Caenorhabditis elegans: one gene and its partners. The protein of the gene in region 2 purifies or fractionates together with the protein of the main gene of each other region. This does not show direct contact. Each region holds a gene or a part of one and is shown on either strand. Other genes may lie near its edges.

Region 1 (12,259 bases), on a different chromosome or scaffold from region 2:
CAGAAACTAATCCTTTGAAGGAACTGCCACAATAGAAAGTTAAACCCATCAAAATGCAAACATGAAGCGTGAGACACTAGGAATACCATTTTTTTTTGCAAAACTCTACAAAAAATGAAACTGGAAAAATGAGACGACGAGGAGTGGACGATTCTCATGTATATGCTAGTCATTTCCCAGGAATCCGGAACCTTCTCAATTTCGTCGTGTCGACTTGATACACGTACAAGAGCCCGTGTTCTGCTCTGATGTCATTTCGAAAGTGAGGGATGGGTGGAAACGAGTGAGATGTAACAACTCTCTTGTGGCTCGCTCACATATATTGTATGGCGATTGAAGAAAGATCAGAGAAGGTATCGTCACATCAATCACTTATTGTGTTGCTGTTATTTGTAACTTTTTGGAATGACTAGAGTGTTTTAAAAAGGTTTCGTTGAAAACTTTCTAAAAGTTTGAAAGTGGAGTGGGGAGGTTGTCAAAAACCACTTCTTTAATGCCAAAGGAACCAAATATCATAGTAATACTTTTAAAAGAATGGAAATTTTTTTTTTGTTGATAGTTTTATAGTTTAGTTATGGTTACAGTAAAACTTTTCAGTAATTGTTAAAAAACACATTTTATTTTGTTTCAAAAAGTGGTACTTACTCAGTGATAGCCAGTTTTTGACTGTCAATAAAGAATTTTCAAAAAACACATTTTGAAAAGTTTGACATGATATTTGACCATTTTGGCATTTTAAACGTTTTTCACCTTGAATAATTTTTTGAAAATTTGAAAATTTTGAAATTAAAATGAAAACTTGTCTATCTTTGTTAAAGGTTCTAAGAAGGGTGATCAATTTTAAAATAAAGATTATCTACAAATCAAACATTGCAGAATGAAATGTCAGATTAAAAACACTTTTAGGTTTTTCAAAATGTTAATGCACTTTTAACCTTCCGAGCATTTTTTTAATACTTAAAATAAATATTTTCGTCTAGTACTAATTACAAACAATTTGAAGAAAAATTTACAACATGAACTAGTTTTCGTAGAATATTTTATAAAAAATTTAATTAATTGCGTGCACAAAATATTTTTACAGAATTGAATTTTTTTTGTAGAATATTTTTCTCTTTTAGAATATTTTTAGGATAAAAATAAATTTGAATAATTTTTTAAAGAATGAATGCTATTTCTGAACTAATGGCCACCGACAATGAGCGTCTTCTTGACCTTTTGAGCACTGCCATAAGCTTCTTAGGAATTATCTTCTTAGTGATAAAATATAACTCTCGAAAAATGTTTTAAAGGTTGACAAATGGTACAAGGTGTTTTGGGTGGAAAAGAAAAAAAGGAATTATAACTCTAAAAAAATATTTGCTGACATCAATTGATTTTATGTATCTTTCAATTTTTGAAAATTGATTTTAGTTCAGCCTAAATTATCAAAAACTATTTGGGAGGAACAAAACCCAAAGTATCCGATGTTTATTTCGAAGAAAAAAATTGCAAAACATAATACGTCACAATGTTATCAATGGGACCTTCTGATATGTTTTTTCCAGGAGAAACCTAATCGAAAAACAAAACAAAAAATCAAATCGCAAAGAAAAATGTCTGGATTCATTCATCTTTTTTCAAAAAGATCAAAATTGGGACCAAATGACAAAAGGTCAACATTAAAGACAAGCAAGAAAGAGCAAGAAAGAGAGGAAAAAGAGAGTTTGCACTAAAACAGGGTCGCGGCAAAGGTAAATGATATGGGGTGTCCTGAATATATATCTCATTCTCTATGTCGTCTGACACAAAAACGAGAAGACATGTTTTGTAACACTCGGTCAGTTCTTTTCAAACACTGAAAACCGACTCGAATTACATATATCGTGTACATGTTACGAAAACGTGGATTTTACATGAAACAATTGTTTCGAATAACTTCGGTTGGCAATACGCACTTTCAAAGTACCATGTGTTTCGCAAACACCAAGATTATAGAAAAAAAGACATTTTTTAAAAATGTTTTGATAATTTCTCAGGAATTGTTAATTTTATAAAAAGTCTTCATCTAAATTCACACATTTTATAAACTTGTCATGACACATTTATTCGGTTATATCAGAATAATTCTAGAAAAAAGTTCTAGAATAAAAAAGAAATTATCCCCACGGATACGGAATCTGAAAAAGTCCAGTTAAACTGAATCTTCCTTTGGTCAGTGCACATTTAATTTTATTGTGGTCTGTGCGCGTTTTTTTTGGTCAGTGCAAATGTTTTATTTTTCTATGGTCAGTGCACATGTTTTATTTTTCTTTGGTCAGTGCGCATTTAATTTTTTGTGGTCTGTGCGCGTTTTTTTTGGTCAGTGCAAATGTTTTATTTTTCTATGGTCAGTGCACATGTTTCATTTTTCTTTGGTCAGTGCGCATTTAATTTTTGTGGTCAGTGCGCGTTTCATCTTTTTTTGGTCAGTGCAAATGTTTTATTTTTCTATGGTCAGTGCACGTGTTTTCTTTTTCTTTGTCAGTGCAAGTTTCTTTTTTTTTGGTCAGTGCAAATGTTTTATTTTTCTATGGTCAGTACACATGTTTTATTTTTCTTTGGTCAGTGCACATTTAATTTTTTTTTGGTCAGTGCGCGTTTCATCTTTTTTTTAATCAGTGAAAATGTTTTATTTTTCTATGGTCAGGGCGCACTTGTTTTCTTTTTCTTTGCCAGTGCACGCTTCATCTTTTTTGGTCAATGAAAATTTTTTATTTTTCTTTGGTCAGTGCAAGTTTTATTTTTTTTTGTCAGTGCACGCTTCATCATTTTTTGGTCAGTGCAAATGTTTTATTTTTCAATGATCCCAATGCCCGTGTTTTTTTCATTGGTCAGTGCACGTGTTTTTTGCTATGGTCAGTGCACTTGTTTTCTTTTTCTTTGCCAGAGCATGCTTCATATTTTTTTGGTCAGTGCAAATGTTTTCAATAATCAATGCACGTGTTTTTTCGTTGGTCAGTGCACTTGTTTTATTTTTTGTCAGTGCACGCTTCATCTTTTTTCGTCAGTGCAAATGGTTCATTTTTTTGGTCAGTGCAAATGTTTTCAATGATCAATGCACGTGTTTTTTCTTTGGTCAGTGCACGTGTTTTTTTCTTTGGTCAGTGCACTTGTTTTATTTTTTGTCAGTACACGCTTCATCTTTTTTCGTCAGTGCAAATGGTTCATTTTTTTGGTCAGTGCACTTGTTTTCTTTTTCTTTGTCAGTGCAATTTTTATTTTTTTTTTGGTCAGTGCAAATGGTTTATTTTTCTATGGTCAAAGCACGTTTTATTATTTTTCGGTCAGTGCACGTATAATTGATCAAAAGCTATTTTTCCCAAATTTCAAAAACCCGGGAAATTAATAGGAAGCTCCACTTTTTTCTTCCAAAAATTATTCAGTATAGTCGTTTATACCAAAAAGTACTAACTTCTGTAATTTTTTGCTCCCTGGTCCGCGTAGCAATCCAGAAATTGAAGATGAAAAAAAGTTAGTTGATAAATTTGGATTTAAAACATTCCTATGGCACCATATTAAAAATAGGAAACAAACTTCACACCTATGATTTGTTTTAATAGACAAATCTCAAGTTTTGCAACTTTCTGGAAGTCGCCGTTCAAAAAAGAAGTCTTTTCCGAATGTTATGATCTATTGATTTTTCAAGTAGTAATATTCTAACATTGTGGGAATTCAAACATGCGACAGTGCTATAGCATTCACAAAAATTTGCAGAAGCTCATTTGACTGCCAGTAAAAGTTTTATAAAAAAGGTTTACTATAACCTTTGGCCATTTTGGCACCCTATACATGATTTTTAACAAAGTCCTCACTGGCGCAACTATACGTTTAATTTATAATTACTACTTTAATGAATTTCACATAATATTTCAAAAATATTTAAGTGTCTAGTTCGACAATCCTTTTAATGCTTCCCAAAAAGACACACGAGATATCATCTTTGAACATGTATCGTATGTTTTTTTACGACTGTAAGACTAATTTTTGAAAGCTCAATAATTGTTACCAATTCTTACCAATTGTTACCAGTTACCAATTTTTCTTGAAAACTTAACTAGATATAGTTTAAACAAGGAAAAATATGTACATACTTCTTCAATATTTCATCATCAATTTGAACACTTTTAAGTTTCATTTGTCCAAAAAATGACAAGTTTTCTGAAGTTTAAATAAAGTATTGCTTACAGCAAAAAGATTGATGCAAGACTATTAGAAGCTGCAAGACAAGAAAAATTTTCGATTAACCCGTAGTGGTGCAAGACTAATAGAGGAAGTACGGTACCTTATTTTTTGTAGGCTCTGAAAATGGAAAGCAAAATAAGGAAACATAAAGTGTTTGTACTCAATAAGTTATGTTTATTTTACAACATGGCAAGGCGACAGTGAAAGAAAGCAGCTGCAACCAAATGCACAATTCAACCGCATATTTTAACATCATTGCATAAAAAGCATAAGCAAGAAAAACATTATTAAACAACGTACAATTATTATAAACTTATACATATTAACTGATTAGTAATCATACAAATGATTGAGGAATAAACAAGTCCATGACACTTGTTAAAGTTTCGACTCCAACTGGAAGATCTCCCTCTTCTGTGGAGGATTTGAAGAACATCAAATTATGGAAAACACTTGAAGTACGTTTGTAGAGTGAGAAGAAAGTTTGTTGAAGTGACTTCAACGCCAAGTTGGAATGACAAGAAGCCAGAACTCGGTTGACAATAATATCTCCGGTGGAAGTAAGTGGAGAGTAGATTCCAGTTTCGATGACCTTGCTGATTTTGGATACCTTTTTCTTGATGACGACATTGCTGTCTGTGGTGACGTGAATGCAATCATCCATTTTGACTTCTTTCGCGGCGACCAATCTGGATAATTATTAGTTTACTTGTTGTTAAATCATTAATTTCTTACTTTAAGTCGGATCTAGTACGGCAGTCAGACACGTAGATCAAATGATTATCGGTCAGTTTAATTGAGTGACCATTGGCTGTTTCTATGAGATTGAATTCCGCGATCTCTTCATCCCGTTTGTGTAAAAACATGATAACGGGCGAATACGTCACAAAAGCCTCGTCCATGCTGAGAACCTTGTCGCCAATCTTGAGATCCTTGATCATCTTGATTCCGTCTTCTGTCTCTACCTCCATATCTCCGGAAAAACACTGCATGCCAGTTCCACCGAACAGCCCATTCAAATTCGGCTGAAGAATGACGTTATTTTTAAAATGAATTAAAATTGTTAATTAAAATACCGAGTATCCTCTTGCACTGTATGCTGGTTGATATGCTGGTTGGTAGGCTGGCTGGTAGGCTGGTTGATAGGCCGGTTGGTAGGCCGGTTGATATGCTGGTTGCTGCATTGCAGGGTACGCATTGTATTGACTTGCATCAGCAGTTGGATAACCACTATACGATCCAGAATATGAACCTGATTGAGGTGGCAGAGGCATTTCTGCTGGAGTCTGTGGGTAGGCTGGCGATTGAACGACAGGCGAAGCTGGGGCAACATTCTGCGACTAGAAAGTTAGTACTAGTAGAATTAGTTGACATTAGATGTATGGGTTAGTCTAAACTCACGTCAATGTAGTTGGAGCTCGGTGGTGGAGGAAGCGGCCCGGATTCTACTGAAGAATCACCATAGTTAGAAAGAGCGGCAGTTCCGTCTTGCATTGTCGTTAACAAACCTGTTTCTTTGTTGTACGTGTTGTCGGCAAATGTGCGGGAACGTTGTGGCGAGGAGTATTGCAGTGGCCAAAGAGCATTCTCGTTGTATGGAAGGCGGCTTCTTAAATTGGAAAATTTTTCGGCTTAAATAAAAATGCCGGATAAAATTTACTTTCTGAATGGTCGTCTCACAACTCGGAATTCGTAATCGTAATCATCATACATATCTTCGAGTCTTTGAAGGAGGGCACGTCTTCTCATTGCAAACGGACGTCTTCTCTCAGAGCGATAGTTTCTGTCTTCCTCATAATCATCGTATTTTCCAACTCTATCACGAAGCTTTCTTCTGTTTCTTGAAAGCAATGGAAGAGCTTCCTCGCCTGAAAACAGTGAAGCTTAAAATTGCAAAAATATTTCAAAATTTCAAAAAATTTACTTGAATCGGAGGTGGCTTCACAAGGCATGCGGTAGACACCAACAATATATTGAACTCTGAAATAAGAAACTTTGTTCCAAAAATACCCGATCATTTAAATTTCTCTTACTGATTATCTGCGTTGACAGTCTTCCTAATCTCCTTGATAAGATCGAATCCTGATTGCTCTCCATCCTTTTCCACCATTCCTCCTACAAACGATTGTCCTGGTCCAAGGAAGATGCTCTTGATTGTTTTCGCATCAGACATTCCTTCGTACGAACAACACTCGGTTTTCAATGTTCTATGTGTTCCGTTATTGATTTCCACAAGCCCAGAAGTCCATTGCAGGTCTTTGACGCAGACAATCTCCTTGAAAGGGTCGCAACTCTGGAAAAATATTCCAATGCTATACATCATTCAATCAAGTTTTATTATACTACGCCCGCCAAAAGTTTTTTCGGTCAACGACGACTCATCCGGAGGAACGATTCCGGTCATAGTGTTTCATGTACTTCTAATCTCGCATCGCAATTAATTGGCTTGCATACGTAGCTTGTTTGGTACGCTTGACGTCGTCACAATTAAAATAGGAACATCAAAAAAGATGAATAGGCTTCGGCCGAGACGAATCGGGCGAAGATTCAGTTAGCCACTTTAATTGGATAAGTCTCAAAGATCGTAAAGCTTAATGGGTGAAAGAAACATCCTTACATTCAAACAAGACACATTCGGGATGTATAATCAACGGGCGCACTGATCTAAGATAAAGCGATGATGTGAGAAAAATCGGAGATGGTGACAAATATATAGGTACGGTATGGATAAGATATTGAACCAATAGCAAGAAGCTTTGCAAAAAATTTTGTAGGATGCAATTCATCAATGTATTGAGACCCAAAAAAACTGAAATTTCGATGTTTTTTTTCTGAAACAGTTGTCTATGTTTTCTCTTCTATGAAAGTATTAGCTCTAACTACGTTTTCAAAATGTTTCTTCTTACAGAATAATTTTAATATTCTTCATATGTTTTAGCTTTTTTCTCTGCGATTTCTTCAAGGCTTCTATTTTTGTAATGAGTTCGGCGTTACTTCAAATAGATTTTTTAAATTGGGTTTGAAATGTTCAGAAAGCAAAAACCATAGTTTTCCAATTTTAGTTTAGATTATAGTTTTTTTTAAATTAGAATTGCGTCCTTATTGAATTTTTTTTTGAATGGTTTAGCTTTTCCATCTGTTAATTTCTACGAAATTGACTTTTTTTTAATGGCCGCTCTATTTTTCTTAATCGCACAAAATTATAGAGCCACTTACAGTCCAAGGATTATGTCCCCGAAAGAGTTTCTCTAAATAATCGATTTCTTAATAATTTTACTGCTAGGCGCCTAGGTCTTTCAAGTATCTCTCACCACATCCAAAACTCTTGGGCGTCTTGCTGCAGAGCTTGAAACTCCAAGGCAGGATGGCGCTTCACATGATATAACTGAAATGGATAATTTTTTGAGATGCTCTGGAAAATTAGTAAATACCTGGTTTTCCTTCGCTGTCTACTTCCATTTTGTAAGGAATTGAATTCGTACCACAAGATCCACCATCATGAATGGAATCCGCCAAAACTGCTCCAAATAGTAGGCAGAAACAATAAAACAAGTTGAGTAATGTCATTCTGGAAACAGAACAGCATACATATATATATTTTTGTTCTTATTGGAACGTTAATAATACAAGGATTTTAAAAGTCAGAATATTTTTAGCTTGAGCAATAAAATTTGGAAGACAATTTTCAAAAAAAGTGAAACGAAGAGAACTGGATAGTTTGGAACAAGAAGAAGAAAAAGAAAAAGACAATGAATAGAGTTGAATGAAGAAATCCGACGACACCGTGTAATTGTTGGATTACGGTGTTAAACCCAGCGGAGGGCAGGAAAAGGAGGCTGGGCGAATGAGGTCGGGATATGCAAGGTGGAAAAATTGCCAAAACATCCAACATGGCAAAACTACAGCTCTGGTCACTTTTATACGTTGGGAAGATACAAGCACCTCCCACCTCCTCGTTTTCCCGGTTTCCACTAATTTCAGCGCGTTTTTATGAATTAGTCCAGAAGATTGCCTTGTCTTCCCGCATCCGCCCGCCCACTTCTTCGTCCCGCCAAGATTTCTTCAGGAGGGGGGAGGGGAGGGCGAATCTGCACCTCTCCATTGGGAATCGCAAAGTCCGAAATAATTTCTCTATGTATGTGTATACTTTAGTTGCGGTCAATTTTGAAGAAGCATCGTGATGAGTGGATACAAGGTATGGAGGATATACAGCGAGAACGAAATCATTTTTGTATTTGAAGTGACTGCGATTGTAGGCGATGTGCGGGGGATTGAAGGAAAAGGAGAACAAGATCAGGGTTGTCGAAAAACTGAATCAAATCGGACTTGGTCAAGTACCTTGTTGAGTAGGTCAAGATATTGAAAACTGTGTATATTTTCTACAAGACATAAATGAACAATGCAAAAATATCAATACGCTTTTGTGTACCTTTTGGAAGATTTTTGTGATTCAAAGTTTTTACAACAGTTGAAATTGCTAAAAATTTTAATTTCTTTGTTTGGCAGCTCATATCACCAGACAAATCATTTGTGAATCATTTTTTTATAGTTGATATCTGTAAAATAAAAAGAAACTTAAGGTGTCAACAGGAAGTAATAAAGAACACTAATAGCGTAAAATAGTGTTGCATTAGTTTTTGAAGTTTTCCTCAGGTTTGTAAACTATTTAAAACAAGAAATGTGGTTAATTAAAATGCACGAACTTTTCCGCGAATTCTGGCAACTTTCCAACCTAATTTAGCAACTTTTTTTTTTTTTTTTTTTTTTTTTTTAATTTTAGCTATTTTTAATAATAAAAAATTTAGCAATCTTAACCTAGCTAACTTTCAGTAATTTTAAGTGCGCACTTTATCCTCAACTTCAACCAACTTTACACAAATGTTAGAACGGCACACACAATTTTGAAACAAATTAAAATTTTATTCATTTGCCAATTTGTTTATTTCCTTTAAACATGATATGCATTTTACTTCATTAAGCTAAGTGATGATTATTTCTTAAACCTGGGAATACAAAAAACTCCAGACGTTTTTATTTTTTATGACTTAAAATTTTAGATTTTTAATAAATAGGCAAATAGATATATATTGGTACTTGATGCCCACATTTTTAAAATAATTTGCTAATTTAAAAAAGATACAAATGTGTGGAATATGTTTTCTAATTCAAGGCTTTGGAAAAACCAACTCTAGTACTAAAAGTACCTTTCTTAATTGGAATATAGATGAAAATTAATTGATTTATTTAGTTTTAACATTGTCTAAAACACAATTACGGCAAATAAAGTTTCAGCCCTTTAAAGATACATTTTTATGGCATTTACTTCAAAATATATTTAAAATGCATGGTGGAAATACACATTCATTACGAAGATTATGATGTTTGTCTGTGCCCAAATATGCTTGACATATCAGTTTAAAGAAACTAGCTGCATTTTTTTTTGGACAGTACCAAAGTTCTGTGCTAAATCCAATTAAGCAATAAATTGCAGTTTTCACAGTACAAAATTTACGACAGTGTATCAGAGATTCCTTGTCTGATCCAGTTCGAACTGCAGAAAAAATTTGCCAGAACGATCGGAGTGCCAAAAAAACTTCAATAACACGACAAGACAAAGAACAAGCTTTGGGTCCAACTTCATGCAGAACATGATCTTTCGTTCTCCCTCGCCGTGTGATAACGTCATCAAATGATTTGGACGGCTTTGTAAATTTGCGGTGATTTGAAGCACTGTTGCTGCTATCTTTTTTATCGCGATCAGAAATTATCGACCAAGATGTATCGGCTTAGAAGACTTGATTGGCGGAAGTCTTCCCACTACACTTTTATGTCTTCTTATCAGAGAATTTTTAAAATCTCCGAACGCTTATCACCCATTACAGATGCTTTTTGATCTGAACGGTTGGTTTGATGCTCATCCCTCAGTTTATGTATACAGTATTCTTTCAAGATTAAACCCCTATCACAAGAAATTTGTATTTAAAAAACGATGTTTTGACATTTCGACTTTGCAGTAAAATTAAGGTAGCCACATAGAATCGGACAGTCGGATTAGTTTTATCGTAATTACTGTGTATACATTTCGCTTTCATTGCTAATCGTTTCTTAGCACCTCCGAATGTGAAAAAGCAATGTAGAAAAAGACAAACGGAACTGTTTTCCGTCAAGGATGCAAAATGGAAAGATGCGCGCTGATTAGTGCAGGTGTCATGAGAGAATTGGAATATAACGGAGTTTCAACTTTTCAGATTATTGTATACTGTCAATGACAATTTCAAATAGCAAGATCTACCTCAAGAAATTGAAAATTTCGACCTAAAGTCTCCGGAGCAGAATTGGATATGAAATTCTTAGAACTGACAATCTCGATTTTTGAATAACAATTGATTCAGATCAAATGGTCAGTCCTAGTAGTTTATCGAGATCAAAAGTTCCTGATACGGCATTAATCACCAGACTACGAACAAAAGAACGATATTCTGGTTTTTATTCTACCTACACGATAATCTTTCGATCTTTTCGTTCGCCGAGATTGTCAATCCAAAATTTATATTCATCACTTTCAATCCAAATTATAATTAATTCTGATATTGTTTAATGAATGCTAAAAATAATATAAATTTAACATAGCCAATATCAGATTTTTCATCTGAATGTACGTACATACACATGTATGTAGAAAATTTTCATTCAGATATGCATCTCAATTTTTCTTGCTTAAGAAATTTTGAAGATATATTTGATGTATGAAACATTGAATTGATGTCTCTTCTCCTTCATTCAATCATGGAATCAAACGAAATTTCTAAGCAGAAACGCTGATTAGAGAATCGAATAATCAACTGGAAACAACAAGAGATGTATTTGATCGTCTTAGTTTCTGCCTCATTTTTCAAGAAGGTTTCTAGGATTTTGAAAAGAAGAATATTTTTAATTTCTAAATTCTTTAACACTAGCCCAATAAATCGAGAAAAAACATACGCAAAAAAAATGAGGAACATCGGCATATAAAATAAAATTTATCCGGATTTCAAGACTTTAGATAGAAACAAGAAACAAACGGGTATGTTTGTACCTGATCGAATGAATACGATTTGCTTAATCATCTTCAGATCATATGATAATAATAGCTCCATAAAGCGCCGTTTTATTAGTTTTTGGTGTCGAGAATCTCAACAAACAACTGGCATCAATTTTATTGTCCACCGTTTTTGACTAGTCAATGATGTTTTTCTCGGCAATCCTGTGTTGATTCTTGGAAAATTTTCCGTTTTCCGTTTTCCGCTCTCCAAATGAGTCCAATTATAAAAGGGAACCGTCACGTGGAATGTTTCATTCAATTGGCCTCGGCTTCTGCTTTCCGTCGTCACCTTGTTAGGAATATACCGGAATCGAATTTGATTGGTGTCGGGAGTGTTCAAAGTTTTGACGGAAAGACGACGACCGAGAGATACTTTTTCTCACATCAAGAAAAGGGACTGTAGTAATCTTTTGGATCGATCTATCTAAAACGACACCAATAAAAATTCCAATTCCATCATTCATAACGTCTCCTTTGAACTAGCCGTGAGAAGGTATCAAAGGAACAGTCGACATTCTCAGGCACTCTGATATGGCTGAGAAATTGAAAAGTGTGAACACAAAACGCAGGGTATATCAGCTTAAATCTGAACTTATCAACAAAAAAAAGTTCAATAATCAAGACAGCATAGGTGCACTTTTGCTTTTTCCACTGATTCTAATGCTTTATAGTAAAAAGGTCTTGACAGCCTAACAACCTTAAATTCTCTGCTACCTTTGTCTACTCAAACTGACCCGTAATTTCAAGCCAAATTCTTATATCTTAGAAAATGTTAATGCCGGTTCAAAATTTATTTTTACAATATCAATTTTTCAACTCACAAGGAAAGTATGTCAACTTAATCCCTGACCTCAACACTAGGCCTATGTAATTTGAAAGCTTACGTTTAGACTAGGCCACCACAAAAATTTCAGCGGCGGAACTCAACTCTGAACCTCTGAACCTCTGAAAGAACGCGGTCTGAAATATTTTAAG
Region 2 (10,091 bases):
GGGCAGATGTCTGAATAAAACTGGTTACTGGTGAAGCTTAAGCTTACTGTCAGATAATGTTTTTAATTCGTTATAAAAATCCTGAAAATTCTGTGAACCATTATATTCTCAAACAAGTTTTTATGGATCGTAATGCCGAAAAACTCCTGAATTTGATATTTACCATTTTTCAAAGTTGACAGTCTCGGCACATCCTGCAAAATACTATCTGAAAATGGTGGAGCTCACATGAGAAGGATTGTTGCTAAGTTAGATACCCACTCGGCAGAAGTTCGCAACTCTTTGCCCAAGGTCTGTCCGCTTATATTTAACCAATACAAAGAGCTGGCAGACCTTGGCCAAGGAGTTGTTAAACTTTGGACAAAGAGCGGACGCCCTGTGGTTTTCAGTGTAAAAATACTAACTTGGACAAAAAGTGGGTTGACCTTGGACAAGACGTGGCGGGCTTCTGCCGAGAGTGTCCAAGGTTTGCCCACTTTTTGTCCAAGTTAGCATTTTTTCACTGAAAACCACTGGGCGCCCGCTCTTTGTCCAAAGTTTAGCAACTCCTTGGCCAAGGTCTGCCAGCTCTTTGCTTGGTTAAATATAAGCGTGCAGACCTTGGACAAAGAGATGCGAACTTCTGCCGAGCAGGGTGGTGTGCTTTCCTAAATTTTCCCGAATGAAAAATATCTTCAAAGAGCTTTTGTCCAACTCGCCATGTTTTGGTTGATTCAAATTTGATTGAACCGTGACCTCTGAGGTCAGTGTTCTTTTTCACAAGTCAACAATATCAGGAAAAAGACAAAAATATTTAGCATTTATAGAAATTTTTGAAAATTTAAAAGTTCGTCTTCAAAACGTGACACCCTAGCCTATGATGGCCCAGAGATACCATTGCCACGTGTCACTTGGTATAAAACGAGAAGAATTGGACGAAAAACAATCATTTTGAAGCAAACTTTGGCAAAGCCTCTCGTCAAGTTTCCAACAACAATCGTTTGCGGTTCGTCATCCGAGGATCGTTCAGTGAGTTTGCTGATCATATGTGGGACTACTACGGCAGGGATTCCACGCAGTGCTGTGCGGCAACCGAACGTTTAGCAATTTGCCGATTGCCGTAAATTATGAAAATCGGCAATTGCTGGAGAGGCTGATTTCCAGAACCAGGATAGCGGAAATTGAGGCTGCAAGATTTGCAACCTTAAAAGCGGAATAGCATATTTGTCAATTTTGCAAATTGCCGAAAATGCCTAGAAAATCGGCATAATTCTGGCAAGTGGCCAAGTTGCTCATTGCCAAAATAGTTGTGTATGTCACCTTGTGATCAGGCGCACTTGCCTGCTAACTGCCTGCGTTATATAGTTTGTTGCGTTTTGCGGTACATATTTCTTGACTATTTCTTCATATTATTATTTTTCTGGAAATTTAGTAATAGGAGGACGCATTGAACGCAAACAGACCTGTCTGACTTGTCTTTGTTCCAAACGCTTCGGGTTTCCGAACATCAGTAGCTTATCAGTAGCCAACGCTCATTTTCACTTTAGCTAAACTCGAATTCCAAATTCACACTGTCATGACACTTTTTTCCAGTTTCCACGTGCAAGATGACGTTTCGTTTAACGTGTCTTCTCATCTTCTTGATAGTCTCCGCATCCGCAGTAGACTCTACTTCTACGGCCGAACTAACAACGGAAACAGCACCAGTAACTGCGCCAACAGGTCCAAACTTTAGTGAGTAAAAATAGGCAGTTGGCTATTCTCATCGTGCTTAAAAGTATTTGATCAAATTACATGTCAAACGTTACAAGACCCAAGAATTTTTGACATACTCAGCGATTTTTTACTTTAAATCTTAAAATTGTTTAATTTTCCGTTAGTTTTGTATCTAATATTAGTTTGAAATGTGCTGTAGGAATCAGAATGTGTTCAAATTTGATGAATTAATTTAGGCACTTTATTACGGTTTTTATAACATTGTATCAGGCATTTAAGATTTTTTATGAGCATTTAGGATATTTGGTTTATTTTCAGTCTTTTCATTTGTTCTCAGCATTTTTAAGACAGTAATTACAAAACTTTAAACTAGTTGATCTCGAAAAAACTTTCTTACATTTTTTTAGAATGCCCGTCTGGAGACGACATAAACGATGATGGTTGCAATAACAGAAAACAAGGAGTTTCGGATGGTACGGAATTGTGTGCTGCTGAAAATATTTGTTACCGAGATATGATGAAAAACTCCGGAGTATCGACTTCTGCTTGTTGCGGTGAGAATTACTTTGTATATTCAGTTGTATGTTCTTGTTTAAGGTAGGCTAGGTGATTTTTGCCCAAGTACTCGATTGTTCTCATACCATTCTGGTGGACAAACCGGGTTTTTGTACAAATATACCGGAGAGGCGGACGATCCGCGTTGGTACAAACGAGATTATCCACTATCCGGAGATGTTGCTTGTCGTAAGTGTAACACATTGTTTCGAAGTTTAAGGCAAATTCCGTTTCAGCGATTCCATTCTCTTTCACACTGAAAAATTCCAATGTTGTTCCACTGACATGGGCAGAGGAAGGATTAGAGAAGTCTAAAGCAAATAACCAATCATATAAAGTTAAAACGTGCACTACCAACAGTGAATGTGGAGATGGAAACTTCTGTGATTCAGTTTATAACCCAACTTTCAAGAATCATAGATTTTTGGATAGAAGTGGTCCAAAAGAATCATCCTTGCAATTCTGTTACAAACGTAGGTTCAATAGATATTTTTCGAAAGTAGCAAATTGATTCGTATCTCTTTTCTTTATATCTGAAGCTTTAAATTTATCTTACGATGCTTCCGTTTTTACCCCAGAAAGTTTCAAATCATTATCTGATTGTTTTACCGAAAATTACAGAATTATTGATTTGATTACAGCTCATTTGGGTCTTTGCTTTCAAAAACAAAAATTTCGTTAACTGACTTTTGATAAAACCAAAAAACTGATTATCAGAGTAAATAGGAGTGCAAGACTTGTCTTAAATTAAAATGTTATTTCAGAACCAGACCTCAAGCCAGATTTGAAGCATGTTAAGGTTGATTTGGGGCTGAAGCTGTGCCATTACAACGAAGACTGTGGCAATGAGACTGAAATTTGTCACATAGACAATATCACTGTGTATGCCAATGTTACGCAGCCGGAAAAAATAGCCGTTCCAGGAATATGCGTTCACGGTACGAGATATCTGATGTTCTTAGAACTCTAACAATTTGTTTTCTTTTCAGTTGATGTTTGCAGCGAGGCTGATGATGAAAAGACACATGCAGTTCTTCCAGTCAATTCACAGTTTTGCAAAGAGGACATGCACTGTCAGAATGCCGGAGTATCCGCCAATCAAACTGAGTACAGTCATCATTGCCGATCGTATTCTGATCCAAACAATAAAGTATGCTGCTTCAAAAAGAAACCAAAATGCAAACATGGAACAGCAGAAACTCAATCTCCAGTTGCTAACCTCATGCAGTGCAAAAAGTACGAGGATTGCGCTGGAGATCTGAAGTCGGATAAGAAGAGATTGGAATTGTGGTGTGACGAAAAAGTGAATGTATGCTGTAAAGATATAGGATCCACTGTCACGAAAGACAAGCACGGAACTTGTTTGGACTATGCAACACCATTGTATAATGAGCCAAAGTGTGTAGATGTTGTTGAAGGAAAGGAAAGTTCTGGAGTGTGCAAGACGAAGGGCGGAGTCTGTCGCTTTGGTCATTGCTGCCCATCACGTAAGCATTCAAATTAAGATTTTTATTCGATAAAAAGGAGAAGAGTTTTAGATTCCCCAGGTTTCACTTTTCTTTTCTAGTGTAGCGGATTTTTTTAGGACGATTTGAAATTTTTCAGTTACCCTGACAATTGCACCATCTGGAAATGGTACTGAGTCAGCGACGCCTACCTTGGGCCCATATCCATACTTGACTAATTATCCGTGTGATGCTAACAAACCTATCCCATCTCAATTCAGCACCTATGCATTTTGCGATCCTGACACTAATCGCGTTGGTATTTTGGGCAAAAGGCACTTAACTGGAGAAGAACGTACTGAGGTGAAGGGATCGGCATGCTCTTCTAACAAGTGAGTTTAAGGTTTATTTGGTGTTTAATGGGACATTTTCAGAGACTGCAAGTCGGGAACTGTTTGCGTGTATGTTAATATCAATAAACACGTCTGCTACTACCATCCGCTGAAGAAAATCGCCCGTGATGTCAGTCAACCATGGCTCTATGTGCTCATTAGCTTCCTCATTTGCGGTTTTATTTTTGTCATTTTGGCAGTCATGAGCTTCGTCTGCTACCGTTCGAAGTCTGTGTTTGACAAGTACAAGCCAAAGAAGAAGGGAGGAAAAAAGGGAAAAGACAGTGATGGAAAGAAAGGAAAGAAAGGTGGAAAGAAGGGAGACGATACTTCAAAGTCAAAGAGCTCCAAGTCAAAGACCAAGAAGACAGAGGCTGATTCGACAAGCGGAACTACTGGTGAAGGAGCCACCAGCTCTCAGATGAACTAGATATTTCCTTTTTATGCATCGAACATTTGGGAATAAACTTGTGTATTTATGTTTCACTTTTTATATTTGAAATTGGTTTTAATAGCAGTTAATACAAGCCATGTACGAATGTACGATTACTGTGATTACCTTTTGAGTAGACGATTTCTGATGATCAGAAAAACAATTGATACATAAATTTCCTTTATTGATAACTATGGTATAAAAGAATTTCCTAAACTCATCCCTAACACTAATTAGGCAAAATTATATTAACCAAAACTTCCATTTTTTTCAAACAAAAAAAAATCTATTTGTGATTTTTAAATGTTTTTAATCAGTGTCTGGAATGGTATGGATTGTTAAAGTTAAAGCTATTCACATTCATAAAAACTGTTCTATTTTCAGCCACAAAAATTAAATTATCCCAGTAATAATTTTCGCCCTGAGCTTGGCAGCTGAAGCCATTTCAAAATATGGGCTATCAAATGTCATAGGTCTCCATGTACAAGTCATGACGTATTTTAAACAAAAGGAAAAGTGGAAAAATCTTCTCATAATATAACATAATATCATAAAATATCAATCACTCATTAATTTCTATTGAATATTGAAGACTTTCTTATGAATCAATTCGATAGTTGGGTTAGATGGTGGCAAGAAAAGTCCAATGAATACGGCAAGTTTGATGATATAATACAATGGAATATACTCCAAGATTCGATCGAAAAGATAAAAAAATCCGAAAATTGTCCAATAAATGAACATTATTCCTGTTTCAGGTCTATCCGATGGTCCCAAGTATGTCAAAATAATGGGAGCAATTACGAGTAGTCCGTTTGCCAAGTAGTGAGGCTCTTTGAGCACAAGCAACAATCCAAGAAGAAAGAGAATTGTTCCTTTGATCAACTGAAATTCAGATTTTATCTTTTTTTTTAAGTTGACAAAAAAACTACTGTGCGCAATGGTGTAAGCCTTGCCGGTAAATGTCACACATGTCACACACACAATGTCACAAATCACACATGTTGAAGCAGGAATACGGTAGCCGGTCTCGACACGATCGAGAAAGGCGCCAAACGATGTGCGCCTTTGAGATACAGTACTCATAACTGTTTCGAGAGTTGTTATTGATTTTTCTCTTTCTGAGACCCTTTTACTTTGTAAACTTCAATTAACTGAATCAAATAAATTGAAAATTCACAGACAGGAAACAAATCGAATATAACATTGAGTATACAGTACTCTTTAAAGGCGCACTGTTTTTTATTCGTGTCGAGACCGAGTACTGTATTTTTGTATTCGCCGGATAATTACCGATTCAACTTCGATTCCAGTGACTTCACTATATCTTTTGGCCCATCTCGCCGTGAAATATTTCTCATTGTGAATGAGATTGATGAACCAAACTTGAACTTCCAGCTCTGACTTGCTCATATTGGAATGATTTTCCAAGAGACGACGAATAGAACAATCAATAATAAAACTAATTGGGAGAAAATAGTAATTGATTCACGTAAAATTTTAATGTTTATATTTTCAAAAAAATCCACACTAACAGAAAATGAGTCTATTTATCAGAAGAAGAAGTAAAATTAAAACAAAAATCGGAATCATTTTATCTACTTGTTCTGTGGAGTAGCTGGTGTTGGCTCAGCAACTTCAAGGATCGTTTCGTATCCACTGGTGATCGACTGATTACGGAAGGCTGGGAATGTCTCCCATGGAGTGTTCAAATCGAATTTACGGAATTCTTGAGCCAATTCAGATGGTTCATAGACGACACGCTTCAGCTCTGGATCGTAGCGGACCTCGTTGTATCCCGAAAGTGGATAATCCTTGCGGAATGGGTGACCCTCGAAACCGTAATCAGTGAGAATTCTTCGAAGATCTGGGTGATTGTTGAACCATACTCCATACATATCGTACACTTCACGCTCAAACCTGAAAAAAATTAGAATAAATATATGGTGACTTGGCCGATTTGAGAGGTGAAATCTTTTGAGAAAGTTGCCATAATTTAGGAAACGACTATAATTTGTCAGAAAATAATTAAGTCATAAATGTTCATCAGTTTCTGTTAGTAATCTTGATTTTTTGGATATTTTTCAGTTTATTACAATAAAAAGAAAAAAGTGGTTTTCAAACGAGTTCTGTCTCATTCGACACATCATGTTTATGCAAGATTATTACGAAAATTTTTTTGGCTGTTTTTTGCAGACTTTTAATGATTTCACATGTTTTTTGTCGGGGTGGGTAACTTTAAGTTTGTTTCAAAATTTTTTAAAAATCTGCAGAAATTCGAAAGTCTACTTTTAAATGATTATAATTCTTAAAAGTCTACAAAACCGTCTTTGGAGAAACAACGGATCCGGGAGCAATCAAAAAATGCATTGGAATAATTTCAGATCGAACTTTTCAGGTTGAAATAGTTTGTTCAATTTTTTTTATATCTTTTCATAGTAATTGTGATTTGGTATTATCCATCTTTGATATTAATTTCACTTCTGTTACAATAGTTAAAATAAACTAATTCTTTCAAAAACTTAAATTACATTTAATTAATTAAAAGTTCTTACCAGTCAGCACCCTTGAAAACTGGAGTGGCAGAATCGATTGGAGCAATTTCATCAGTGTATGTACGAACACGAACTCTGGCGTTGAATCGAACAGAGTAAAGCGAATAAATAACTTCAAGACGATTCTTGCGAGTTGGAACATCCATTCCGGTGATGAAGGTTAAGTTGGTGAATTGAGCAGAATGATTTCCCTGGAAATTTAGATTTTTTGTTGATAAATCAAGCATTAAACCAAGAAAAAACGGTTTTTGTGCATTTTTTCTCAATTTTAATAAAACGAAGTATAATTTAAAAAAACTGTAAAACCGACAATAGTTTCCAGATAAAAAATGGTTATGTACTACTATTGCAGCTGAAAGTCAAAGTGTTACTTTTATTTCAAATTTTTGTGTGTGATTATAATTAAAGATTTAATACTTACTTTAAGGAAGGAAAGAACTGGAACAACTCCTGATGGATGAATCAAGAGCTCTAACTCGTCTCCGGCTGCAAATTGCACTTTTTGCACAAACTTTGGCAGGCACTCGGCTGCATACTTTCCAAAATTAGCCAACCGTTCACGTTTGTGTTCGTCGATTTTCCAGATAGTTGCTGAACATTTTTTGTTAAATTTTGTGTAAAATGCAATTGAAAATTTTACGTTTTTTTGGAGATTCTTTCTTATCGCCAGTCTGGTTGGTCTGGGCAACAGCAGCGGTGGTGGAAATTGGCGAATTTCGGACAATTTGCCGGGAAACTGCCTGACGGATCACACTACCCAACATTTTCTGCAAGACAAGACATATATTATTATTTTAAAGTTTTTATTGAATTTAAATGCGATTTGAGGCAAAAAATGGTAAAATAAAAAATAAAATCAGAGAAAATGTGTTTGATCGGCCGGCCGCACATGAAACGCGCAAGTATTCGGGAAATGCGCCAACATAATTTGCTAGCGCATTTCCCTTGCAAGAGAAGTAAGAAAAATGAAAATATTAAACAGAAAAATAATTAATCGAGGGATTCCATAAGAGATTCAGCGAATTGGCGTGTGCGAGGATCTTCATATAGAGTTTTTTGTCCTTTCGAAGTTAATCTATCGTAGATTAAGCGCAATCCGATGAGAATTTGTTGATAGTTTCCTGAAACTGCAAAATATGAAATCAACTAATTTAATCAAATATTCAACCTGTGACTGATACAACAACTCTTCCATCTGTTTCTCCATTATCTCTATTCTCGTTGTTTCGCTCGAAATGAACATCAACATTAGAACTCAGTTTAATTTCGTTGATTTTGGCGCCGTTCTTGCCTGGAAAAAATGAAAGCAATAATTAAGAACTTCTTTCTGACCTGCTAAAAGGGCCAGTTACTGCGAAGGAAAACAAAAGAACAAAGACATGTGTGCATAATGAAGTGCGAAAAACATATTTCACCATTCAGTAACCTGTTCTTGGGTTTGTACCTCTTCCTGCTTTTTACTTTCTTTTTACTAACACTCACCAATGAGGAATCCAATGTCTTTGGACGGCATTTCGAATTTATAACGTTGATTTTTATTTCTGATAGTCGAGACCAGTTCCAGCACATCATTCAGAGCAGATTTCAGATTCCAATACGGACCAGTAATACGAACATTTGAATTTTCTTCGTCATTCTTCCAAATATCCAATGCAACTTTGTTATATTTTTCAATTTTGTAGATGTTGCTTCCTTCGGGCCCAATGAACTGACCGAGAAGTGACGAGTCGAGGAATCGATGGATTGGATAATTTAAAATTTCGCTGTCCATTTTTTCCTTTCTATAATTAGAAATACCGAGAAGCTGAATAAAATTCGAATGGCACGACAATTTCAAAAAAAAAATTGTTGATACGGTATGCAACAAGGCACGCAGCGGTGTTTGCGGACTGAACTTCTTAGAAACGAGGCAATTCGAAATTTTATAATTGGAGACTCAACACCTTCTAATAGATGGCAGAAAAATGGGTATTGAAGAATATATTACCCAGATGCGAAATGTTGCGATTTTTGCTCCAAAAATACGGTACCCGGTCTCGACATGACCCATATTTGTGAAATGCAAACTTGCGGATTAATTGTAATTTCGAACTTTCAGCGGGATATCATCTAATTTCTGTAGTTTGTTTATTTTTAGGAAATGGTGAGAAAATGTTTTAGAAAAATATTTTAAAATCGACGAAAGTGGCAGCAACGAGAGTTTAAAGTTACAGTACTCTTTAAAGGCGCACACCAGTTTGCATTTAACAAAAATGTGTCGTGTCGAGATTTTTTTGGCGCAAGAATAGCAAAAATTTGTGTCTGAGTAATAAAACACATAAATCGCAAACTGCGTTCTTCAGCAACAATATTTTATGGAATTTTTTCGGCATTATTTAGGATTTTAGGCAACCAGCTTCGTCAATTTCGGATGAACAGTGTACCGCAAAAAACACAATTTTGAACATGTCTATTTCCAAAAAAAAAGACCAAGCTAAAGTATTCGAACTCGGAAATTTGAAACATATTTAGTTATTAAAATAAGTTGATCATCATAAAATTATGTAATCTTATGTTAGAAACTGCTGTAATGTTTTCTTTTTTCTGTCTAACTTTACACATCTACCTTCTTTCCGTCATCATCAAAAAAAAACATCCTCAATCTGTTTGTAACACTATATAAAAAAAACGGACTCAGCTGTAATTCACCTCTTAGATATCAAGATATCCCTTGAAACACCTCCAGTCAATTCTCTTCTCCCAGGAAAAAAACATCTTTAAGGCCATAGATGCGCGAAAGGACAAAAAACAAGTGTCACTAGAGACGCAGCATTATAGACATAAAAAAGTTGAGTAGGCGGAGTCTATCGGAGGAAAAAGAAAGGTTTTGGCAAACAGTTTGGCACCCAGAGGTTGTGTCCTTTCAATCGAGAAGACAACCATGCTTCTTGTGCCAATTATTCTACTATTTCTGGAGGTTACAACAACGCATCAGAGAAGTATTACTCAGAATACTGTAAGAATTTTCTAAATTTAC
Region 3 (11,232 bases), on a different chromosome or scaffold from region 2:
ATCAAAACTAACCATCAATTGAAACTTTATTGAATTTGTTGAACTTTCTTTCCGAGTGATGAACACCCAACGCAGCAATACAAAAAACAAAAATCAAAGAGGCAGCAATTGCAATGTATGCCTTCACCATAGGCGCTCCTGTTAAGCTTGTGGAAACTGAAATTAAATTTGTCTTGGAAACTGCATTCAACCAGAAATTGCAAATAAAGATAAAAATCACAGTTAGTAAAGAAACTGTATGGTGAGAAGAAAACTAACATACATATGTATCTTGCAATAGCATCTCCGTCAATATTTTTTAGTCAATGTGGAAAAATAATTGACCTAATCCCATGATTAGGTATCGGTAAAAATCAAATTCTTCTGATGTCGGCTAGTACTTTCAGTAAAAAAATTGGAAAGGTGATAAAACATTTGCGAGTACATGATACATTTTACAAAACAAAGACATAATTGAATAACTCGAAAATACCTATTTGTGTAGTATACCTGCTCCAGAAATATTTTCCCATTTGTTTTCCATTTAGTTTTATGAAAATATAACAGTTTAATCGACACGTGGAGTTGAATCGCATTTTTAGGCTTAGAAAAACATTAAAGGTGGAGTGCGCCCAATGGGGAAATTGCTTTAAAACACGCCCATGGGGTCACAATGACCGAATATCATGATAAAAAAATTCAAAAAAATTTTCTAGATTTTACATTTGAATTTCCGCCAACTGAATTCGTTCGGTGGAGCGCACTTGCAGTATTTTCATTAATTTATTTTATTTTTCTCATTATTTTACTGAATTTCTTTATTATTTGTGTATTTTTATTGGAAAAAGGAAGAAAAACTGGCGCTACCCCATTAAAAAAAATTTGTGTGATTCAAAATTTTTAAAAGAAAAAGTATCATGAAAAGGGAGATGCTGGCTTTGAAATAAATGCCTTGCAAAAAGAACAACTGAACAGCTGTTAGGGTCACCTCAAACCATAGTCAAAAATGCACACAAACAAAAAATGACACAATTACCTGTTTGTGCTCCAACTCCGACGTACGGCATTTACATATAAACTATTGTTCTGGAACAACAACATTTCAAACAAATGTTGCGAGATTATTTAAAAGTGGAGTTGAATTAATTACAGTTACAGTTAAGAACTTAATCAAAAATTACTGTAAGAAATGACTGGACGAAGAAAAAACGAAAACTTTGAAACTATGAATACACTTTTCAAAAGTTTACGTGTAATTGTGTATTTGATATCTGAGCAACAAAAATGAAACTCATTGTAAACGGACTGTCAACATTGATTTAGGCCAGATAAGATTTGCAGGTTTCAAAACAGTAATTTTTCAATTTTGTTTAAAATTTAATTCATTTGTATCACATACATGCATTTTAAAACAATACTTCTTCGATTATAGAAACAAAATTGTGGATTTTTTGTATTCTTAGGCCAAGTAAACTATCCCTTCTAAGACTGAAAAAAATGCACGAAAAAAATTTCGGTTTGATCTACGTAGATCTATTGAAAAAATGCAGGAGAAGAGACTCAGAGTTCTCAACAGATTTTTCATTGTTAAGAACATGCTGATGTCATATTTTTTGGGCACAAATTATATAGAACAGCCTAACACTTTTTGGTGTTTTAAAGGTGGAGTAGCGCAAGTGGGGAAATTGTTATAAACCACTCATTTGGTCCCAAAATGACCAAAGATCACAATAAAACTTTTCAAAAGGTTTTTGAACATTTTTTATCAACTGTCAAAAAGTGACAATTACTTCGTTTTTGCCACTCATTTTGAAAGTCGACCAAAAAAAAAATTTTCCTTTATTTTTTATAGTGCAATTTTGTTTTAATTATTTGTATTGAAACATTGTACATAGGGCTCGGAATAAGCGTAATTTCTTTGGATTTCCTCAAAAGCTCTTATTTTTCAAAATTATGGCAATTTGCCAAAACTTCGCCCAGAAATTATGAAAACACTAAAAAAAATTTTTGGAACGTTATATTATGGTATTCGATCGTTTTTGATCAAAATAAGTGTATTTAGACAAAATTCCCACTGGCACTACTCCACCTTTAAGATTAAATAAATAATTTTGCAAATGTAATCACAACAAAAATTGATAGAAAACATCATGAACCGGAAATGCTAACATTTTTGCATGAACAATATATAAAAATAAAGTTTTCAGTTTTGTGATTAAAAAACTATGATACAAACCCCAAAACATTAGTTCATATATCAAATGCTTTTCTCTACTAATATTGTAAACAGACACAGAAAAATGAAAATTGAATTGAGAATCACAAGCGACGATTCTTTCATCTGCCCCCTCCCCTCAATTGTTTCCCCCTCTTGATACATATAATCCAGAGTGTCATCGAATTGAAGTCAGTTGTCTGATGATGCTCCATCATCTGGTGTATGTGTAGAAAAAGAGGATATGATACGTGCGCTCCCTGGGCCCACCTTATTGTTGTATGTTTATTGGTATGTTTGAGTAGGACACTTGTTCTTTCTATTACACACACTGATGAAGGTTTGGTATTTGCGTTATAGCTATACTACAATATTTTATAATGATATTATTGCCGTATTTCTTTTGTTAGTATGGCTACAATACTAATTTTCAAAGGTCATTCCGTTATTAGGGAATTTTCAGAACATTTTTCTGTGTTTGGACTTACTATTTTTTTACTTGAAAAGACTTAAACTTTATATGGAAGTTCGACAATTTTATTTTAATTGTAACAAAAAGGCTTAATAACTTCAATCTCATAGGAATTGTGTAAAAAATGTGTGCAATACAAATACCATGCTAATAGAAAAAATACTCTTTTTAATTAGGGCTGGCAATAAGTCCTGAGTCAACATTTATAATTCAAAATTCAAGCAGCCAGACTAACAGAAGAAATGAGGCAATTATAGAGTTTTTTTTTCTTGGAATTTTTGTTTTGAAACACTGGCAAATTAATGAGAATGCTCGTATATACGAACTCTACGGTTGGGTACAAAATTGAAACTTAAAAAAAAATTTCCAATCAGTTCACTTCTGGCTTTAGAAGTGGAAAGGCATAGGACACATAAAGTATCTTACTGAAAGAAATTATATTATCAAATAAATACATTAGTCATTCAAAATATAATACTTTTTTACTGTAAAAAACGACCACTTTAAATCATTTGATTCATTCTCCAGTAACTCAAAAAAAACATTCAAAAAATTCGACAAACATTTTACTTATTTAACATTTTTAATGGACTTGATTAAACAATTTCACTAATTTTTTGAAAGGCTGTCTTGAAAGATATAAAAATGTCTCCATGTCTATGAAACTTCATAAAATAAACATTTGACCTGAATATGCATAAAAATTATTTGTAGTGGACTATTGAGAAGAAGTCCTTTCAAATGAAATACGTTTCGTTCAGAAAATAACTGAACGCATTGCAAAAAATCAAAACTTATGACGTTTTTTTCTCAAGGAACAATAGAATTGTAAAATGAAATGTTTCAAAAAGTAAAATAATTGGAAAAAAAAATCAATTTGAAAGCAATCTTCCAATTTTTATCAATGTCGACTATTGCCTGATAAGATAACAAACATCATATTCCAATTAATATTTTATTATTATCAACATTATAAGTGCACTGCTGCAAAAATGTAACCTTTGGTATGCTGAAGGGTGAACTTAAAAAAGATAAATAAATGAAGTGGTTGAGTTACATTTCGCGTATTCCGGCATGATGACAGTACATAATAACATTCCAATTATACAGGCAAGTCACATCTTCCTTGGTTATTCTATCGATTGAAGTACCCGATGGATCACACATTCGCAAGCAACGAGATCCAACCTAAGTTTTTATTATCATTAGTTGACATAAACGGGTTTCCATGATACGGCGCCCCACGCAGCCAACACTATCTGGGTTCCGCGCCGCGCTAATTTGCCATAGTTTTCAAATGAGTATACCTCAAGTTAGGAAATTTTGAAAGAAAAGTTGAACTGATTAACTGTTGCCCAATATGTGATCTACATCTTAACACACATGTTTCAACGTTTCAAAACATTAAAGTCAAGAGATACAACGCCCGACACCTTGCGAGCTCATTTTTGTCAATTCTTTTTGGAACATCTGTAACTTGAGACTGAGAAGTTTTCATAGGAGCAGTTTTCTTAATAACCTGAACCAGTGAGGCAAAACAGTGTTTTGAGAAGCGCATATACAACCTTACATGTATATTTTACCGGTTTTTGAGATATAACCAATTAATTACACACCATAGAAAACTCTTTCCAAAAAAATCTTCCAAGTTATTTATATACCTGAAGTTGAGGGGCATTGAGATCTAAATCCAAGCAGCATTTCCTATTATCTCTGTTCTGGCTGGCACAGTACAAAATTGACGACAGGTGTTTAATTCGGCACTGGCTATCTTTCCGCATGTTGGTCAGCTGCAAAAAGTTTGTTTTTGGAAATATAAAAGAGGTACTCACAACACAATTGTTTTATTGTCATTTATAACGTTAGGCAACTTACTATTTTGAATTTACTTTGGACACTTACCATATTTCTAGTAACCGACTGATCAGTTTCGTACACACACATGTGATGGCATTCTTCTGGAACATACAATTGACAGCACGACAAAAAGAGTTTGTTCGCAATTCCCTTGGAAGTGCATGGTTGATAGTTTACCTCCGATGTTCCACATTTGCCCTTAATTATCAAACAATTGTTTTGGAACAGTACTAATGGAAATCATGTATTTTTTTAACCTCAGAGCTGAAATATTAGGAGCCCAAATGCTGCTGCCGAGATGCTAGAGCTCGAGCCCAAATGCTCGAGCTTAAGATAATTAGCTTGGGCTCAAACAATTATATCAGTACAAAATAAAACTGACCAACGGTTTTCTCGGAGCAGAGCGGCGATCATTTCCAACTTTTCTGGAAAAAACTGCAATTTTTCTGTCTGGACAGTTTGACATTATGTATTTATAACATTGTCGGGGAAGTCGACATCCTGGGGTGATAGGTGCTGTGCAGCAAGCCCCTGAAAACCAATGTTTTTTGTACGCATGTATTAACATAGAGCAAAGCTGATATATATATATATATATATATATATATATATATATATATATATATATATATATATATATATATATATATGTGTAGAATATGGCGAATCGGGTTAAAACCGGACAACGGGACGCGTTTTATACCCAATTCGTCCAATTTGCTAGCCCTGTTGTAGACTCACTAAGAAATGTTGTATTTTTTTCCATTCCAGATATATTATGGGAACTTGAGTGAACGGGCCTTAATTTTGAGTTATTGTAAAGGTTAAGCACGACATTTGGTACATTTTCAAAACCTATTTCAATGTTGCTAAAATGACTAATAAAACGTTTCAAACGATTTTTGAAAATGTTTTATTTCAAGTCAAAAAGCGATAAAAACTCACTAGTCAATTTTCATGATTTTGTTTTTACAACAATTGATTTTAAGAGATTTTTGCGCAATCAATTTTATACCTAAACGTTTACTTCGTTCAGGTTACCTTTTTTCACAGCCGGACATTTTTTTTCGGACGATACAAACTGAGTAAGAAACAAGACAAGCAATGAAGACGATAGAAGACGCATTCTGATACCAAGAGCTGCAAGATTTACAAGTTGTGTCAATTGAAAAATAATCTTGAAAATAGGTTATAAAAAATGTTTGAAATTTACATCTTTTGACCATTCAAAATGATTTAGTCAAAAAATGTTCTAATTTTTCAGAGAATCTGGGCTTAAAGGTGGAGTAGCGCCAGTGGGAAAATTACTTTAAGGCATGCCTATGGTAACACAATGACCAAATATCATAGTAAAAAAAATTTAAAAAATTAGTCTAAATTTTATATGATTTTTTGAAAGTTGAAAAAAACCCGAATTACATCAAATTCCCATTTGAATTACCGCCAATAGTTCAATGTTCGATGGAGTGTGCTTGAAATATACATTTTTTTAAATAAATTTTTCTCATTTTTGACAGATTTTTGATGTTTTTCGTGTAATCTAAGTAGAAATTTAGTGAAAAATTCAACACAAATGTATATTGTGCATTGAAAACAATTGAAAAACAAAGAAAGAACGTATTCCAACGACGTCGAGCCTGAAACAATCAATTGCACAGGTTTACGCTTCACTGTCCTCTTTTTGATAAAGAATTTACATTTATCTTGAATTTTTCACTAAATTTTCACTAAAATTACACGAAAAAAAAAATTAAAATTCAGACATAAATGAGAAAAATTGATAAAAATATGGCAAGCGCACTCCATTGAACATCGAACTATTGGCGGCAATTCAAGTGGGAATTTGATGCAATTCGAGATTTTTTCAACTTTCAAAAAATCATATAAAAATTTAGCAAAAATTAAAAAAAAATTTTTTTTACTATGATATTTGGTCATTGGGGTACCATAGGCATGTTTTAAAACAATTTCCCCGCTGGCACTAGTCCAACTTTGAGGATAATAAGCACCATCAATACAGTTCCCGAATGTTTGCCAATTTAAAACGTTCTGAAAACTTCAAATGTATAAGAAACGACTTTTGGCGCAATTTTTCAGATTTCGGTAGTTGGGGAAAATGTGCTGAACTTTTTTCAAGTTGAAATTAAAATTTTTGAAGTAGGAGCTTTACAGCTAAAAGTGTTTTGCGTAAGCTCGTTTAAACAAAATAATCTGATGGGCATACGTCTTGTTTTGAAACTTTGAACGAAAAAATTCCGTTTCCTTGTACAAATTGACAAACCCTATTTTTTAAAAATTCGTTTTTTTTTCAAATTTAAAGTAACAAGAATAAAGAACATCAAATACAAAAACAAAAGTAGGTGTTGGATAGCAAACAATAATTAAGAAGTGAAAAAAGAAAGAGAGAGAGAGAGAGAATTCAATCTGTTCATTGAGTAACAGTCAAGAAACGGAAAATTAGGGCAAACGGCGCATCAAACGGTTGCGGGTAAATTAATGTTCACGAAATCGGCGGAAAAAGACACAGGAAAAGAGGCCATGTATTACCCTTTTCCACTTTTCTGTTCCAAGCAACAAATTACATTTCTCGATCAAAGAGAATCGCGAGAACTAGTGAGAAGCCAAATGAAGAATAAATATAGTTTTTTGTAGCATTCACAGGAGAGTTCAAAACTAATTGGTTTGAATGAATTGTCGATTGTACGGGAGGAAAATTTTTTGCGAATTTTTTCATCCCAAAAAAAAAAGGAAAAAAAACACGCCCAGAAAAAACAAACAAACATTTTTGTCGCAGTCACCGAGGACCTAATTTTTGAATTCCAATTTCAACAGGCATATGACTGCACTTTTTTGCAAAAAAAAAATTTGGATTTTTTGGGGAATTGATATGGTAAAAAATTGCTAATTTTTTTTAATATCAGGGGTACATTTCTGGAACCTAGATATTCCATCCCAGCCGCGCTACAGGGGTTTTTGTCTTGAATTCCAATTTCAACAAGCATATGACTGCACTTTTTTGCAAAAAAAATTTTTGGATTTTTGGGGGAATTGATATGGTTTTCGTTTCGTTTCTGTATCCGTTTCTGTAGCTACGATATTCATTTCAAAAAACCCGAAAAATGTTTTTTTCAATATGCAACAAATCATTAAAAACTTGGAAATTATTTTTGGTTGCTTATATTTGGGCAGACAAAAAGTGTCCTAGCTATAAAAATTGCAAATTTTTTGTATTTTCAGAAGAAGAGTGTACTACCGTTTCTGTAGCTACGATATTCATTTCAAAAAACCCGAAAAATGTTTTTTTCAATATGCAACAAATCATCAAAAACTTGGAAATTATTTTTGGTTGCTTATATTTGGGCAGACAAAAAGTGTCCTAGCTATAAAAATTGCAAATTTTTTGTATTTTCAGAAGAAGAGTGTACTACCGTTTCTGTAGCTACGATATTCATTTCAAAAAACCCGAAAAATGTTTTTTTCAATATGCAACAAATCATCAAAAACTTGGAAATTATTTTTGGTTGCTTATATTTGGGCAGACAAAAAGTGTCCTAGCTATAAAATTTGCAACTTTTTTGTATTTTCAGAAGAGTGTACTACCGTTTCTGTAGCTACGATATTCATTTCAAAAAACCCGAAAAATGTTTTTTTCAATATGCAACAAATCATCAAAAACTTGGAAATTATTTTTGGTTGCTTATATTTGGGCAGACAAAAAGTGTCCTAGCTATAAAAATTGCAAATTTTTTGTATTTTCAGAAGAAGAGTGTACTACCGTTTCTGTAGCTACGATATTCATTTCAAAAAACCCGAAAAATGTTTTTTTCAATATGCAACAAATCATCAAAAACTTGGAAATTATTTTTGGTTGCTTATATTTGGGCAGACAAAAAGTGTCCTAGCTATAAAAATTGCAAATTTTTTGTATTTTCAGAAGAGTGTACTACCGTTTCTGTAGCTACGATATTCATTTCAAAAAACCCGAAAAATGTTTTTTTCAATATGCAACAAATCATCAAAAACTTGGAAATTATTTTTGGTTGCTTATATTTGGGCAGACAAAAAGTGTCCTAGCTATAAAAATTGCAAATTTTTTGTATTTTAAGAAGAGTGTACTACCGTTTCTGTAGCTACGATATTCATTTCAAAAAACCCGAAAAATGTTTTTTTCAATATGCAACAAATCATCAAAAACTTGGAAATTATTTTTGGTTGCTTATATTTGGGCAGACAAAAAGTGTCCTAGCTATAAAAATTGCAAATTTTTTGTATTTTCAGAAGAAGAGTGTACTACCGTTTCTGTAGCTACGATATTCATTTCAAAAAACCCGAAAAATGTTTTTTTCAATATGCAACAAATCATCAAAAACTTGGAAATTATTTTTGGTTGCTTATATTTGGGCAGACAAAAAGTGTCCTAGCTATAAAAATTGCAAATTTTTTGTATTTTCAGAAGAGTGTACTACCGTTTCTGTAGCTACGATACTCATTTCAAAAAACCCGAAAAATGTTTTTTTCAATATGCAACAAATCATCAAAAACTTGGAAATTATTTTTGGTTGCTTAAATTTGGGCAGACAAAAAGTGTCCTAGCTATAAAAATTGCAAATTTTTTGTATTTTCAGAAGAGTGTACTACCGTTTCTGTAGCTACGATATTCATTTCAAAAAACCCGAAAAATGTTTTTTTCAATATGCAACAAATCATCAAAAATTTGGAAATTATTTTTGGTTGCTTAAATTTGGGCAGACAAAAAGTGTCCTAGCTATAAAAATTGCAAATTTTTTGTATTTTCAGAAGAGTGTACTACCGTTTCTGTAGCTACGATACTCATTTCAAAAAACCCGAAAAATGTTTTTTTCAATATGCAACAAATCATCAAAAACTTGGAAATTATTTTTGGTTGCTTATATTTGGGCAGACAAAAAGTGTCCTAGCTAAAAAAATTGCAAATTTTTTGTATTTTCAGAAGAGTGTACTACCGTTTCTGTAGCTACGATATTCATTTCAAAAAACCCGAAAAATGTTTTTTTCAATATGCAACAAATCATCAAAAACTTGGAAATTATTTTTGGTTGCTTAAATTTGGGCAGACAAAAAGTGTCCTAGCTATAAAAATTGCAAATTTTTTGTATTTTCAGAAGAGTGTACTACCGTTTCTGTAGCTACGATATTCATTTCAAAAAACCCGAAAAATGTTTTTTTCAATATGCAACAAATCATCAAAAACTTGGAAATTATTTTTGGTTGCTTAAATTTGGGCAGACAAAAAGTGTCCTAGCTATAAAAATTGCAAATTTTTTGTATTTTCAGAAGAAGAGTGTACTACCGTTTCTGTAGCTACGATACTCATTTCAAAAAACCCGAAAAATGTTTTTTTCAATATGCAACAAATCATCAAAAACTTGGAAATTATTTTTGGTTGCTTATATTTGGGCAGACAAAAAGTGTCCTAGCTATAAAAATTGCAAATTTTTTGTATTTTCAGAAGAGTGTACTACCGTTTCTGTAGCTACGATATTCATTTCAAAAAACCCGAAAAATGTTTTTTTCAATATGCAACAAATCATCAAAAACTTGGAAATTATTTTTGGTTGCTTATATTTGGGCAGACAAAAAGTGTCCTAGCTATAAAAATTGCAAATTTTTTGTATTTTCAGAAGAAGAGTGTACTACCGTTTCTGTAGCTACGATATTCATTTCAAAAAACCCGAAAAATGTTTTTTTCAATATGCAACAAATCATCAAAAACTTGGAAATTATTTTTGGTTGCTTATATTTGGGCAGACAAAAAGTGTCCTAGCTATAAAAATTGCAAATTTTTTGTATTTCAGAAGAGTGTACTACCGTTTCTGTAGCTACGATATTCATTTCAAAAAACCCGAAAAATGTTTTTTTCAATATGCAACAAATCATCAAAAACTTGGAAATTATTTTTGGTTGCTTATATTTGGGCAGACAAAAAGTGTCCTAGCTATAAAAATTGCAAATTTTTTGTATTTTCAGAAGAAGAGTGTACTACCGTTTCTGTAGCTACGATATTCATTTCAAAAAACCCGAAAAATGTTTTTTTCAATATGCAACAAATCATCAAAAACTTGGAAATTATTTTTGGTTGCTTAAATTTGGGCAGACAAAAAGTGTCCTAGCTATAAAAATTGCAAATTTTTTGTATTTTCAGAAGAGTGTACTACCGTTTCTGTAGCTATGATACTCATTTCAAAAAACCCGAAAAATGTTTTTTTCAATATGCAACAAATCATCAAAAACTTGGAAATTATTTTTGGTTGCTTATATTTGGGCAGACAAAAAGTGTCCTAGCTATAAAAATTGAAAATTTTTTGTATTTTCAGAAGAGTGTACTACCGTTTCTGTAGCTACGATATTCATTTCAAAAAACCCGAAAAAAAGCCTAAAATTAAACCTAGCCGTGTGGGTACTTAAATGAAAGCTGGTGACGTGGAGATTACGTTCCCGTAAAAATTATTGCGAAATATGCAACGGTGGCCCAGAAAATCCGCGACCAAATTTCAAAAATTAAACCTTGCCGTGTGGGTACTTAAATGAAAGCTGGTGACGTGGAGATTACGTTCCCGTAAAAATTATTGCGAAATATGCAACGGTGGCCGAGAAAATCCGCGACCAAATTTCAAAAATTAAACCTTGCCGTGTGGGTACTTAAATGAAAGCTGGTGACGTGGAGATTACG

The links.
Region 1: the proteins of T10E9.6 (region 2) and wrt-6 fractionate together in Caenorhabditis elegans (co-fractionation; one large-scale study listed by BioGRID). This does not show direct contact.
Region 3: the proteins of T10E9.6 (region 2) and dbd-18 fractionate together in Caenorhabditis elegans (co-fractionation; one large-scale study listed by BioGRID). This does not show direct contact.

Annotation. Positions count from the first base shown.
Region 1 is NC_003284.9:3,475,765-3,488,023, reverse strand, and holds wrt-6 (Warthog protein 6 N-product), read right to left. Parts: upstream 7,775-12,259; 5' UTR 7,771-7,774; coding exon 7,635-7,770; intron 7,589-7,634; coding exon 7,515-7,588; intron 6,497-7,514; coding exon 6,237-6,496; intron 6,184-6,236; coding exon 6,128-6,183; intron 6,072-6,127; coding exon 5,864-6,071; intron 5,813-5,863; coding exon 5,712-5,812; intron 5,652-5,711; coding exon 5,605-5,651; intron 5,538-5,604; coding exon 5,280-5,537; intron 5,229-5,279; coding exon 4,939-5,228; intron 4,893-4,938; coding exon 4,541-4,892; 3' UTR 4,358-4,540; downstream 1-4,357. UniProt on the Caenorhabditis elegans protein: Intercellular signal essential for a variety of patterning events during development.
Region 2 is NC_003279.8:6,524,122-6,534,212, forward strand, and holds T10E9.6 (Receptor expression-enhancing protein), read right to left. Parts: upstream 5,979-10,091; 5' UTR 5,934-5,978; coding exon 5,814-5,933; intron 5,406-5,813; coding exon 5,097-5,405; 3' UTR 5,045-5,096; downstream 1-5,044. Other genes in the region: T10E9.4 (uncharacterized protein), read left to right, coding at 1,587-1,713, 2,103-2,249, 2,293-2,439, 2,487-2,723, 3,015-3,188, 3,240-3,737, 3,856-4,087, 4,130-4,517; nuo-2 (NADH dehydrogenase [ubiquinone] iron-sulfur protein 3, mitochondrial), read right to left, coding at 6,119-6,440, 7,076-7,266, 7,497-7,666, 7,716-7,839; T10E9.14 (K Homology domain-containing protein), read right to left, coding at 8,066-8,202, 8,244-8,366, 8,558-8,846; cpg-22 (DOMON domain-containing protein), read left to right, coding at 9,996-10,070.
Region 3 is NC_003284.9:291,665-302,896, reverse strand, and holds dbd-18 (DB domain-containing protein), read right to left. Parts: upstream 5,664-11,232; 5' UTR 5,650-5,663; coding exon 5,565-5,649; intron 5,055-5,564; coding exon 4,906-5,054; intron 4,722-4,905; coding exon 4,569-4,721; intron 4,457-4,568; coding exon 4,328-4,456; intron 3,855-4,327; coding exon 3,720-3,854; 3' UTR 3,610-3,719; downstream 1-3,609. Other genes in the region: gcp-2.1 (Glutamate carboxypeptidase 2 homolog), read right to left, coding at 13-156, 1,016-1,046.